Linked DNA regions of Yarrowia lipolytica. Each later gene encodes a partner of the first gene's protein in a complex. Links are inferred from orthologs where the notes say so. Each region holds a gene or a part of one and is shown in the gene's direction. Other genes may lie near its edges.

Evidence for each region. Proteins that work in one complex are often made in the same cells at the same time.
Region 2: YALI1_F38998g (region 1) and YALI1_E03183g share a complex: the UniProt entries of both Schizosaccharomyces pombe proteins name them as parts of the core SMN complex. The link is inferred for Yarrowia lipolytica from reciprocal best matches to the Schizosaccharomyces pombe genes gem8 and smn1.

Annotation. Positions count from the first base shown.
Region 1 is NC_090775.1:3,897,828-3,904,216, reverse strand, and holds YALI1_F38998g (uncharacterized protein), read left to right. Parts: upstream 1-4,322; coding exon 4,323-4,709; downstream 4,710-6,389. Other genes in the region: YALI1_F39041g (uncharacterized protein), read left to right, coding at 67-1,326; YALI1_F39022g (uncharacterized protein), read left to right, coding at 1,930-2,313; YALI1_F39009g (uncharacterized protein), read right to left, coding at 2,775-3,284; YALI1_F39001g (mRNA turnover protein MRT4), read right to left, coding at 3,415-4,116; YALI1_F38986g (uncharacterized protein), read right to left, coding at 4,900-5,553; YALI1_F38954g (uncharacterized protein), read right to left, coding at 6,335-6,389. UniProt on the Schizosaccharomyces pombe protein: The SMN complex catalyzes the assembly of small nuclear ribonucleoproteins (snRNPs), the building blocks of the spliceosome, and thereby plays an important role in the splicing of cellular pre-mRNAs.
Region 2 is NC_090774.1:315,962-322,341, reverse strand, and holds YALI1_E03183g (uncharacterized protein), read left to right. Parts: upstream 1-3,976; coding exon 3,977-4,357; downstream 4,358-6,380. Other genes in the region: YALI1_E03220g (uncharacterized protein), read left to right, coding at 332-2,488; YALI1_E03185g (uncharacterized protein), read right to left, coding at 2,594-3,787; YALI1_E03163g (uncharacterized protein), read right to left, coding at 4,621-5,949; YALI1_E03158g (uncharacterized protein), read left to right, coding at 6,278-6,293, 6,367-6,380. UniProt on the Schizosaccharomyces pombe protein: The SMN complex catalyzes the assembly of small nuclear ribonucleoproteins (snRNPs), the building blocks of the spliceosome, and thereby plays an important role in the splicing of cellular pre-mRNAs.

The DNA of each region.
Region 1 (6,389 bases):
GCACAAAATATTTTTATAGAGGCGGCCAATATCTCGAGCTCAACAGTACAACACCATACAGACAAGATGAAATTGAACACGGCTGCCATGAGATACCTCACACCCGATGACTTTCGGGTGTTGACGGCTGCAGAAATGGGCTCCAAGAACCACGAGGTCGTGCCCACCAAGCTCATCACCCAAATCGCAAAGCTCAAATCCGTCAGTGCCACCAACAGAAGCATTTCCGATCTGGCCAAGGCCGGTCTGATTGCCCGGGTCAAGAACGCCAAGTACGACGGCTACCGACTCACATATGGTGGCTACGATTATCTGGCACTCAAGGCCTTCATCAAGCGAGATACAGTCTTCTCCGTCGGAGCCCAGATTGGTATTGGTAAGGAGTCTGATATTGTGGCTGTCAGTGACGCCAAGGGAACTTCTCGAGTTCTCAAGATCCACAGACTGGGTCGAATCTCGTTCCGAACCGTCAAGAACAACCGAGATTACCTCAAGAACAGATCCAGTGCATCGTGGATGTACCTGTCTCGTCTGGCAGCTCAGAAGGAGTTTGCCTTCATGAAGGCTCTGCACGACGAGGGCTTCGAGGTGCCCACTCCCATCGACCAGTCGCGACATCAGATTGTCATGTCTCTGATTGACGGTTTCCCCATGCGTCAACTGCAGGAGCACGATGATCCTGCTCGACTCTACCAGACCCTGATGGACTTCATTGTGCGCCTGGCACAGCACGGACTAATCCATTGCGACTTCAACGAGTTCAACATTATGATCAGAGAAAACTTTGATCGAAAGGACCCCAAGTCCGAGATTGTCGTCATTGATTTCCCTCAGTGTGTGTCCATCGACCACGTGGACGCCAAACGGTACTTTGAGCGAGACGTGGAGTGTATCAAGCTCTTTTTCCGAAAGAAGTTGGGCTACGTGTCCAAGACCTGGCCCGATTTCGACCGCGACGTGAAGCGAAAGGGTGAGGCTATCGACAAGCTGGTGGGTGCATCTGGCTTCTCCAAGAAGCAGTCCAAGGACCTGGAGGCCGCTCTGGCCCAGAGTCTGGAGGTGGACGAGAACGACGTCGACGACCAGATCCGAGAGGACGATGAGGAGAACGAGCAGCTTGCAGAGGACGCTGAGATGATCGAGGATGCTGATCAGGAGGAGCACGACATTGAGGAGGAGGAAGACGACGAGGAAGACGAGGAAGAAGAAGAGGAGGAGGAGGAAGAAGAGGAGGAAGAAGAGGAGGATCCCCTCGAGAAGGCCATTGCTGAGCGAGGCATTGAGAACCTCAAGATGGACAAGTTGGGTAACTACATTTTGGATTAATTGCATGTGGTGGGGGTAAATCAAGGAGAGGCGGGAATCGACGCCACTCCTAGGTAATAATATAAACAGTACATTATTGAATAGAAGCAAGTGTTGCAATAAAAAAAATTGGCTGCTATGCCTGGTTCCTGTCTTGTACCGCACTTCTCACAGGAAATGACACCATATATGTATGCTGCGTGATGGGCGTTATTTTATTCCGTGCAGCAAGCCAGCAAAGAGGAGAAAGCTATTTGAGAACTCTGAAACAGACTTGTTGGCAGGATAGAGTCTTGGGGTCTCCTGATAAGGTCTCGAGTCGGTAGTCCTAAAAATGTTCGCTGTGTCAGAGTCTCGTGTCAGCTGGTGCCACCCGCCCCACTTCAGTCCATACAGTTACAGCTCGGTTACACAAGCGAGCTGATTAACTTTGCGATTTTCATTTTCCGAAAGGTACAGCAGGCACATTCCAGCGGGTGTGTGCACCACGCACTATAATCCGTCTAAGTCTAATTTGGATATTCACTCCACCCACCTCACTACACATCACCAAGGAGATTATTAGTCTGCCTTTTTCTAAAGACCGACTTTTTAAAAAACCACCCATCTCAAGCGACCGCAGCCATGATCTACAAAATTCTGGAATCCTTGCCGGCCGAGGCTGTTCAGAACGGCACCGTCAACCCCGAAACCGTGCTGCCTGGCGTGCCCCTTGATATCCAGGACGGCTTCATCCACCTTAGCACCAAGGCTCAGCTGCTGGAGACGCTCAACAAGTACTTCAACAAGCACGACCGCGTTTATCTGCTGGCGATTGACATTCCCGACACTCCCGGCGCCCCATTAACCGAGGGTGCCGTGGGTTGCAAGCCCGGATGTCGACTACAGTGGGACTTTGTGCGATCGCGAAACGAAAAGTTTGCGCACATCTACGGACACCTCACCAATGGAGACATTTCCGAAATCAAGGAGCTGGAACGAGGCCCCGACGGCTGGAGCTTGTGGTAACCCCGCATGCCACGTATAGAAGTATCGTATTTATTGTGCTGCATGAATATATTGTTGAAAAGAGGGCCTGATGGGTGTCGGGCGGAGGACAGCCGTGTGTAACGCGTAGCCGCTCATTTATTGTATCTGCGCCTGTCTTTGTATACCAAGTTACGGACCTCGTAGTCGTGCCCATGTCGTGTAGCGTGAAGTACTGTTAGCGTGTATCAGAACATAGAGCAGTTGGCTTACTCTTTATTTCTGTTCACGCTTATCGCTGTTGGTACCTGTACTTTAAAGCATTACAGTACAATTGCAAGTGTGCTTTATTATATGAATGTATTAAAGATTAGCTACATGCTGTAGTTTTTGAACGACTCTGACATGGGTCTAGCTGTTGCGTCAGGTCGTGTGACAGAGAGAAGGTGTCCAACTGTATATCATCTCCAGTATATATACACCGCTTAGAACCCCTTCACCCCCTAACTCTGCTCCTCCTCGTATTCCTCCTCATCAGACTCGTCGTCAGGAAGAGCAAAGGGATCGGCCTCCTCCTCGTCGGAATCCTGCTGCCATCCACCGACCTTCTTGAACTCGGCGGGCCAGTAGGGCATTTTTCGCCATGTGCGATCGTCCACCACGATCTCGATGATATCACCGGCAATCTTGTCATCGGGAGTCACGTCAACAACAACAAAGCCACCCCGCTTGACCCACACGGTCTGTCTGAACTTGGGTGGCATCTCAACCTGGACCTCTGGGCTCTTGAACCCGTGGCTCTTGTAGAAGTCTTGAGGCAGAGTCACCTCGTATATGTTGCTGCCCTTGGCCTGGGCGACCTTGGCGATGGTCTGGTTCTCCTTCAGCTCATCCAGTGGCGTTCCAACGGCGGCCAACGATTTCTTGCTCATGGTCGAAAGTTTTTGAGGTTGATAATGGACAGCACCGCGCCTTGCATAAAAGGTGTCGAATAAATTTGAGCTAACCCACATGGAAAATGACTACAAATTAGATATGCACAAATTACTGTACAAGGAAATACAGCGTAAAACTACAATATTTTCCTCCCATAGTTATTCTATTGAAACGTGTCTAATGATTGATTAATATGTTCCGAGACATCTAAGCGGAAATGAAGGGCTTAACCTCCTCCTTCTCAGAGTCGTAGTAGGCCACAGTGTGGACCTTGAAGAAAGAGCTGGTGACGCCAAAGTGCTTGAGCAAACGGGTCTGTCGAGAATCCAGAGTCTGGCCAGTCTTGCAGACCTCGTAGGGGGCGAACAGCTCCACCTTTCCGGCCTTGAGCTGAGTGGGCATACCCAGAGATCGGAGAGTGGGCTCCATAGAATGCACAACGGGAACATCGTCCTCAGCGGGGATCTTACCTCCGGTGGTATGGACAACGCCGGCGGGGATTGTGAAAGTAACGGTAGAGACCTGGCCGGCTCGTGCATAGTCCTCCCGAACGAAAGACTCAAAGTAATCCTTGACGACCTGGGGCTCCTCGTCGGTCAGCAGAAGACCAACATCTCCAGACATGTACTCAGACAGTGCGCCGAGTCCAGCCTTGTACTCATCCTCCTCAGACTTGCCGAGAGCCTTGGCCATGATCTTGGTTCGGCCAAAGAATATTCTGCTGCCCTTCCAGTCCGCTCTGAGATCCTTGAAAAAGGTGTTTCGCATGCCCTCTACTGAGAAGACAAAGCAGTACTTGTGTTCGTCGAGGTAGTTGTGGATCTCGTCGACGATCACCTCCTTGTCCTCCCGGGTCTTCTTCTCGACCTTGGTGAGAGCGATGACCTTGTTTCTCTTTGACTTGGGCATTGTGATGTATGCTGTGTGGTTAGAAGATGGATGGGAAGTCCTGCCAAAATATCTGCACTAGCTGCAAATATTTTTTTGGCTTTGCATGAGGGCAGAAAAATTAGCTTTGATACTCCTCTATCGAAACCACATCCAAAATCAAAACACCCAATATGCAGTCTGTGTAAGTGGCCACTCAATTATTGTACCATTCGCCACCCAAAAACATGTCTATTTCGACCCAGGATCTGCTGGAGTTCCATAAGAAACATCTAGGCGAGTTTCAGGGCACAATCAAGTTTGATGAGGCAGGTCAAGACGAGGACACTGAGCCCTCCCTGGGCTTCTATCCTGATGGAGTTGAACGGACTCTGACGGACGAGCAGATCGAGTTTTTCCGTCAATCCGACATTCGAAAGGAGGAATTGCGCATCTACAAGGAGAATCTGGTATTACAGGGAGCAGAGTCACAGGCAGAAGCTCACGCGGAAGCTCAAGCAAAAGCAGAGACAAACATACAAGCACTGGATCCAACCTCACAACAAAGACAGATAGAAGTGGCAAATGATGAGGAGGGTATGAATGAAGGACCAGGCAATTCTACAATGAGTTGATTCATCCAGCATCGAGCCCCCGGAACCAGTTTAGATTGCACCTCATCCATCATCTCCACACACACACACACACACACACACACACACACACAAACGATCCATAGCTAACATTTATTACAAGTATGCAATCATATACGATTATGTTTTTATATACTGAAGGGTATGTGAGTTGTTTCCAGGGAGACCGGATTTAAATGCAGTAGTATCGGTCGCCAAAGTCTCCGAGACCGGGCTGGATCCACTTGTTCTCGTCAAGACCGTCGTCAATGACACCAGTGATGATCTGGACGTTGGGGAACTTCTCAGCGAAAGCAGCAATACCCTCGGGAGATGCAATGAGGTTAAGGAAGAGAATTCGCTCCTGGGGGACGCCTCGGGCAATGAGAACCTCGACGGCCATCATGGCAGAACCTCCAGTGGCAAGCATGGGATCCAGGAGGAAGACGAATCGGCTAGAGATGTCCTCGGGCAGCTTGTCGTAGAATAGAGAGGGCTGGGCGGTCTCCTCGTCTCGCTGAATGAGAATCTTACCGATTCGCACGGACCGGCAGCAGTCTCGAAGGCCCTGCTCCATGGACTCGCCAGCTCGCATAATGGAGACTCCGCAAATCTTTCCCTCAAATGCAAGACCCTTGAACTCAGCGCCGGTTGGCGTCTTAACGAGCTTATCGGTCACGGGCAGCTGGTTGAGACCCTCCTCGACAAGCAGACGGATGATTCGGTCGGAGTAGAAGATGAAGTCCGACCGAGAGGTGTTCTTGTCCCGGATGATGGAGTAGAGACCAAGAAGCTGCCGGGTCTGTGGAAGCACGTTGACGTTGGAGGGAATGGGCGAGGAAGACATTGTGTGTGTGTAGTGACGGAAGGTAGAAACGGAAAGTAGGGTCGCTTTTCTGGAACCAAAATATATATATTAGGGTTCAATTGACACGCATAAAAATTTGACCCATCTCGACCCACTCCTGCATACCTCAAGTCTTATCTCGGCACTGCCGTGGATGTTCCGAAACACTGAAAACACATAAACATACATGCCCGTGCTTGGGTGATTATTGAACGGGTTGGAATAAGGCTTCGAGGAGTCCATTCTAATTCCCCTCTTTGAGAGAGTCGCGTGCAGTTCTCCCACCCTTTAGAGTGTGGTCGTAATTGGCTTATCATACACTATCGCAGCTAATACCAATACTTGACCCATGCCCCCCGCTTGGAGCTGCCAGTAGCGGGTGTTGATTTTAGTGCGAGACTAGAATGAGAAACAGGTGCAGAAAAGGCGGCAGTTACCAACAACCTGAATAGATCGGTTTGCCCCTCACGGCTATTTTTCCCTCCCTTGGACGAGCTCTAATCGTCGATAAGGATAAGCGTTTCGAGGCCGTGTGTTAACATGGCTTGATATGAGTGGAGAGACACAACCGTCTTATGAGCTGATAAGAGTAAATCCTATAGAGCTAAACCCGGTCACGCTTTCTTTCCGAGATACCCATGTTCATGGCAATATGTATATATGTATGCTTGTTTGTATCGGATGTGTATACACTGGAGTCGTCGTCTATTAAATATTTTATTGACACTGGAGAGAGGGAATTATGTCAAGCACAACGCTTATGTAGGTACTCTTATCTAGTCTATGGTTGTTGGGGTTTTCGTCTAGCTGAACCCTCCTCGTCATGAGCAGAGGCA
Region 2 (6,380 bases), on another chromosome or scaffold:
CCCCACTTCCAGTCCAGGGTCCATGTCACTGTTGCTAACAACCCCGCATGCACTTACCCCAGAGAATGTACGATACGTAAACGGACACCCGTATGCGGACAGGAATCTTTTGGTATCAACAACCGAATGCGTTTCGAAGCCACATACTTACCTACAGTACGTGTACCCCGCGACTCACTCGCACCCACCACAACTCGAATCAATATACACAGGTGATACACACATTAAGTACTGTAGTTTCCATTAAATTTAAATAAAGTAACTAAGTAATTACTTGGCCAACAGATCTCAACTGCGACATCGTATAGAGTTCCAACTCTAAAAAAATTATATGAACTGCATAAGAAAATTCATCGTGCAGCATTCTATTCATACACACGACACAATGGCTAAAAGAAAGAGAGCAGCCCTTTTGCCCACCAACATTGCACTTCTGCAAAATCTGGTGCGACGAGACCCTCCTTCTTACAAGGAGGAGTTTCTTCTCCAGTACCAGCACTATGAGTCCATTCGTGACATTTACATGAACTCGCCTCAGACTGAGAACTCTGAGGAGTTTGGAGATCTCGTTGGATTCGTCGCACAGGTTGCATCGTGCTACCCCAAAGAAACAGCCAACTTCCCCGACGAGTTGTCCAAGCTGATCCTCGATCACCACCAGCATCTCGACGAGGATCTGCGAGAGAAGCTCATCCAGTCTATGGTTCTTCTCAAGAACAAGGGTGTCATCACCCCCGAGAAGCTTATCGCCACCCTCTTCCCCATTCTGCTCATCACTGGCAGCAAGCAGCTGCGAACTCAGATCTACTCCAACATTGTCACCATCGTCAAGGGTGCCAACACTGGAAGCAAAGCTCAGAAGCTCAACAAGTCTGTCCAAGCACTTCTATTTAATGTTCTGTCCACTGGAGAGTCTTCTGGTCTGTGGGCCACTAAACTGACCCGAGAGCTGTGGAGACGAGGTATTTGGGACGACTCCCGAACTGTGGAAATCATGGCTCAGGCTACTCTTCACGGAGAGGCCAAGATTGCCATTTCTGGTGTGCGATTCTTCCTTGGCGCTGACAAGGAGCGAGAGGAGGCTAACGCCGAGGACTCTGATTCCGATGCCTCTGCCGAGATCGGTGCTCTTAAGCATCGACTACAGATCAACAAGAACTCCCGAAAGCGAGGACGAAAGGCCGAGTCTGCCATGAACAAACTGCTGAAAAAGCGAAAGGGTAACGGTGGTGTGTCTGCCACCTACCTCAACTTTTCCGCCCTGCATCTTTTGCGAGACCCCCAGGGTTTTGCCGACCAGCTCTTTACAAACTTATGCAAGTATAGATACGATCTTGAGCAGAAAATTCAGATCATGAACCTCGTGTCTCGAATGATCGGCACACATAAGCTCACCGTTCTGGGCATCTATTCTCATTTCCTGAAATACCTCACCCCCAAGCAGAAGGACGTCACTCAGATCATGGCTGCCGCCGCGCAGGCTTCCCATGATCTCGTGCCCCCTGATGCCATTACACCCATGATCCGAAAGATTGCTGACGAGTTCGTCTCTGATGGTGTTTCTGCCGAGGTTTGCTCTGCTGGTATCAACACCATCCGTGAGATTCTGGCACGAAATCCTCTTGCTATTGAGGCTCCCCTTCTTCAGGATCTTACTGCTTACAAAGGCTCCAAGGCCAAAGCAGTTGTTATGGCTGCTCGATCTCTTGTTTCCCTCTACCGAGAGGTTGCACCCGAGATGCTTGCACGAAAGGATAGAGGTAAGGAGGCATCCATGGCTATGTCTGCTGACGCTAAGGCCGGTACCTCTTCTCGACTCCAGTATGGTATTGAGAAGGGCCAGACCGGTATCGAGGGTCTCGAGCTGTTGGCCAAGTGGAAAGCTGACCAGGTCCAGGAGGAAGATGATGAGAAGGCTTGGGAGGTTGATTCTGACTCTGATGATGACTCTGACGACTCTGAGTCCGGATGGATCAACATTGAGGACGATAAGGAGTACAACATTTCTGACAGTGAAGACGAGGAGGAACTCGACGACGAAGCCAAAGCTGCTAAGGCCCAGGCTGCTGCCGACGCTGCTGCCGAGGCCCAGAACATTATGGCTACCAAGATTCTCACTCCTGCTGACTTTGCCAAGCTCGAGGAGCTCAAGGCCCAGGCGGGCTTCGACAAGCTCATGGGCAAGAAGCTCACCAACGAGGATGAGGTCGATGCTCGTGGCCTGATTGGACCTGTCAAGTACAAGCAGCTGCGAGAGGAGCGAATTGCACAGGCCCAGGAAGGACGAGAAGGACGAGAAAAGTTCGGTTCTCGAAAGGGAAAGCGAGACGCCCCTCACTCCACCACCAACAGAGAGAAGGCCCGAAAGAAGAACTTCATGATGACTATCCACAAGAAGGATGTCCAGGGCAAGGCCAAGAGATCGCTCATCGAGAAGAAGCGTTTGCTGAGAGCTCATATCGACAAGCAGAAGAAGAAGGGATTCTAGTTATAGATGGTTCAGTTATAGCATGGTATAGAAAAAAGGTATTATTTGTTGTATTGATATTATAGACAGCGGATCCACCACTGACAAGCTGTATTGTATTGTATATTAGTAGTTAGTAAGCGTCTGGTGACTGGTAATAGTATGGATAGGATGGCCGTATTTCGTAGGTTGAAAGTTGGCTAGCCATTCCGCCACCTTGTTGACCGTCAAAGTCTCCTCCAAGTACTTCTTGCGGTTGAACTTTTGTTCCACAGAGTATTGTGCAAGCTCCTTTGATTCAGTCACATCAGTAAGATACACGTCGTGAACAGAGTTCCACCTTCCAGGCTGGCTGTTTATCGCGTCGTAATCATCACCATGGTAGGATACTTGGTGGTAAACTTCGTCAAAGTCGCCACTGAGTAAGTCAGTGACACGCTGGAGGTACACAACCTCGTGATGAGGCAATCGGTCGATTAGATTTTGCCATTTTTGCCTGTTCTGAATGTAAACTTGCAATGCTCTGTGACTTGGCCGATGTAAAATCTCCGTCCTCGGAGCATTCAACACAAGGGCATCAGCGAGCGGAGGTGTAGTAGATTCGTCAATAATATCTTCCAGCTTCACAACAGGGGCGTGGTTCGAGTTGTTTCCCTCCATTTCCACGTCCACACCATCGACGCCGATTCGTGTCCCTTGTGACCCTGCTGGGTCAGCTTGCAACTGCGACCCAGAAATCAACTTTCTGTACTCACTCCCTGAGATCCTCATGATTGGTCTGAGAAGATCAGTGGAGAAGAACAGGTCTTGAGGGCTCCAATTCAATGAGGGTGCCTGATCTAGACACCACTCATCTTCATGATTGACTGAATCATTTGTAAGGTGTCGGAAGTTGGGGACAAGGATCATCTCAGCTTCCACAATGTCCTCATCGAAACATTGACAGTCCATGCACCTTCGAATCAAGTCAGCAGTATACCAAATTTTGTATGATTCGTACTTCTGTGGTATGAGGGTTTCTTCGGTGTAACAGATGTTGTAGGTATTGTTTGATGGCTCAGGAGCCAAAATAGCTCCTCCTTTTTCTAACATATGTTTCAGGTCTGCGAATTCTTTCCTTTGAAGATCTCCTTCCGGAGGCAGCACAAAGAAAAGCAAAGGGAGCAACCCGTCCGACTTGAATGTCAACCCAATATTTTCAGATGGCGGGAACATGGGCAGCTCCTCCCCATCGCCAGAGTCACCATCGTTCTTGAATTGTTCATTGTTTGGTAATAGTACCTGACCCAGGTCCTTCAAGTTACTGCCGTGTCCGTTCATGGGTTGCCACAAACTACCATATGAAACACTTTTTCTCCAGCCGTTGATCAGTAAATATCGATGTCGTGCAGTTCATGAAGATGCAGATATGTTGTTGTACATCTCATCTGCAGTTAGATGAATGTTAATTTTTTAGGTGACCAAAATGAATATGCGAATGCATGAATTCTCATCAACACAACGATCAAGATGAACCAACAATGGGACGACAGCCAACTCGTGGCGACCTGGGATAAGGCATACGAGGAATATCTCAAGTACCATAAGAAGAGCACGACGGAAGGTGCAGTGATCAATGAGATGAGAACCGACAAGGAGCAGAAGGAAATGCCAGAAGAGGATGATGATGCGGATATGAACGACACAGCCGACACAGCTAACAAGTTGTTAGAAGCTGCTGAGATATCCAACATTTCTAACGACGAAACCTCAATGGCGAACCCAGGATCCGGATCGGCATCGGCACCCACTGGACCTTCTTTGGATCATCTGGACGAGAGTGTTCGAAGTCTAGTCATGGCTTGGTATTGGGCAGGGTACTACCAGGGATTATATGAAGGTAAGAAGTAGGGGACCTGTATTCATAATTCTATATACAGTGCACTCCACACAGCATATCTAAACTCATTCCGACCCAATGGCACTCCATAAAATTGATTATTTATTGCTTTCTCTCACACTCGTAAGTGTACAAGTATATGTACCGTATCATACAGTAGCTACTTATTACCTACCTACTACTCATATTTGTAACGACAAGTAGTTGAGGATGTCCGCATCGCCATTAGATTCTAATATATTGTAATAAATGCACTTTTTTTTAGATGGATCCTTTATTTCTTGTCAGATTTGCCCTTGGCTACACGCTTGGGCTTTTTGTTCTTGGACTTCATGTCAACGTCCAGTCCTGCCTTCTTTCTCTGGATTCGCTTTCGCTCACCAAAGTTCTCGGCCTCCATGTCCAGAACGGCCTGTCTCTTGGCAGTGGATGCAGGGGTGAGATACTCCTCAACGACCTTGTCGTCTTCGATCAGATCGTACTTCTCCATCTTGGTACCCACTCTCTCTTCGATGTTCGTCACACGAGTTACATCTCGTTCAGTGACAAGAGAGACAGACTGGCCCTTTCGTCCTGCACGGGCAGTTCGACCGACTCTATGAATGTAATCGTCAGCATCTGCTGGAAGGTCAAAGTTGATGACCATCTCCACAGTAGGGATATCAAGACCTCGAGAAGCAACATCAGTGGCCACAAGAACTCGGGCTGCTTGGGCTCGGAATCGTCCTAGAGCGTTGACTCGCTCCTGCTGTCGCATCTCAGAATGAAGAGAGGCAGTCTTAACGTCCAGAGCCATGAGCATTCGTCTCAGGGTCTCTGCAGTCTGAGTTCGGTTGACGAAGATGATGGCAGACTTCTTCTCGTTATCTGGATGAGTGAGGATAGCCCACAGGTAGGCTTCTCGTACGTAACCAGGTAGGAATAGATATGACTGGGTAAGAGTGCTAGGCACGGCAATGTCTGATGCAATCTCGTGGATGAATGGCGGTCCCTTCTCACCGGTTCTGTCCTTCAGAGCTCTAACAGCGTCGGTAACAGTGGCTGTGAACAACAAAGTCTGACGCTTTGAAGGATCGGGGAGAAGGTCCATGCAAGTTTTAAGGTCAGGAACGAAGCCAGGAGTCAGCAGTCGATCAGCCTCATCCATAACTACATATCTAACCCGTCGGAATCCTCGGATGGTATCCTCACCACTGCTTCGAATATGATCAGCCAGACGACCAGGTGTGGCAATGACGAAATGGGGCATCTTTTGAAGTTCCAGACTCTGCTTGACCATATCAACTCCACCGTAGATGAGCGCGACTCGAATGTTCATGTTGGCTCCAAGAGCTGTAAACTGCTCCGCTATCTGGATGGCTAGTTCTCGAGTAGGGGTCAGAACTAGACCAAAAATACCACAGGGATCCTTGGACCATTCAGCCAGCATGGGAGCAGCAAATGCGATAGTCTTACCACTACCAGTTCGAGCTCCTCCAATGCAGTCCTTTCCCTTCATGATCTGGGGGATACAGGCTTTCTGAATAGCGGAAGGCTTGGTGATAGCCATGTTTGAGAGAGACTCATTTAGCCACTCTGGCAAGCCTAGATCGGTGAAAGACATTTTATCAGTGTTGGTAATCGAAGATCTGCTTTTCTGGTTACAAGTTTCAATTTTTTTCCAACGATTATGCTGGTCTAAAGTTTAACTTTTTAAAACAATCGGCTTAGTAAGCATAATTGATGGGGGTAATCGTTGAGATTGAAACTGTGTGCAAGCCTTTTATGTCATGATATATAACGACCAGCAACGGCCATTTTTTATTTACCAGCCTCATATGGTCATTGATGATCTTTAAGTGTGTCGTTTCATAGTGACTTCCTGAAAGTTTCATGCAACCACACTGGACGACTTGAAATCATCATTTCCAACACAACGGCATCACGACACAATGGGTATTACAGAAAGTGAGTACGAACAGAGACATTGATCGGAATACCAATCGCTTCAACACAACAGCGTCATTCATTACTAACTCAGACGAACCCACACCT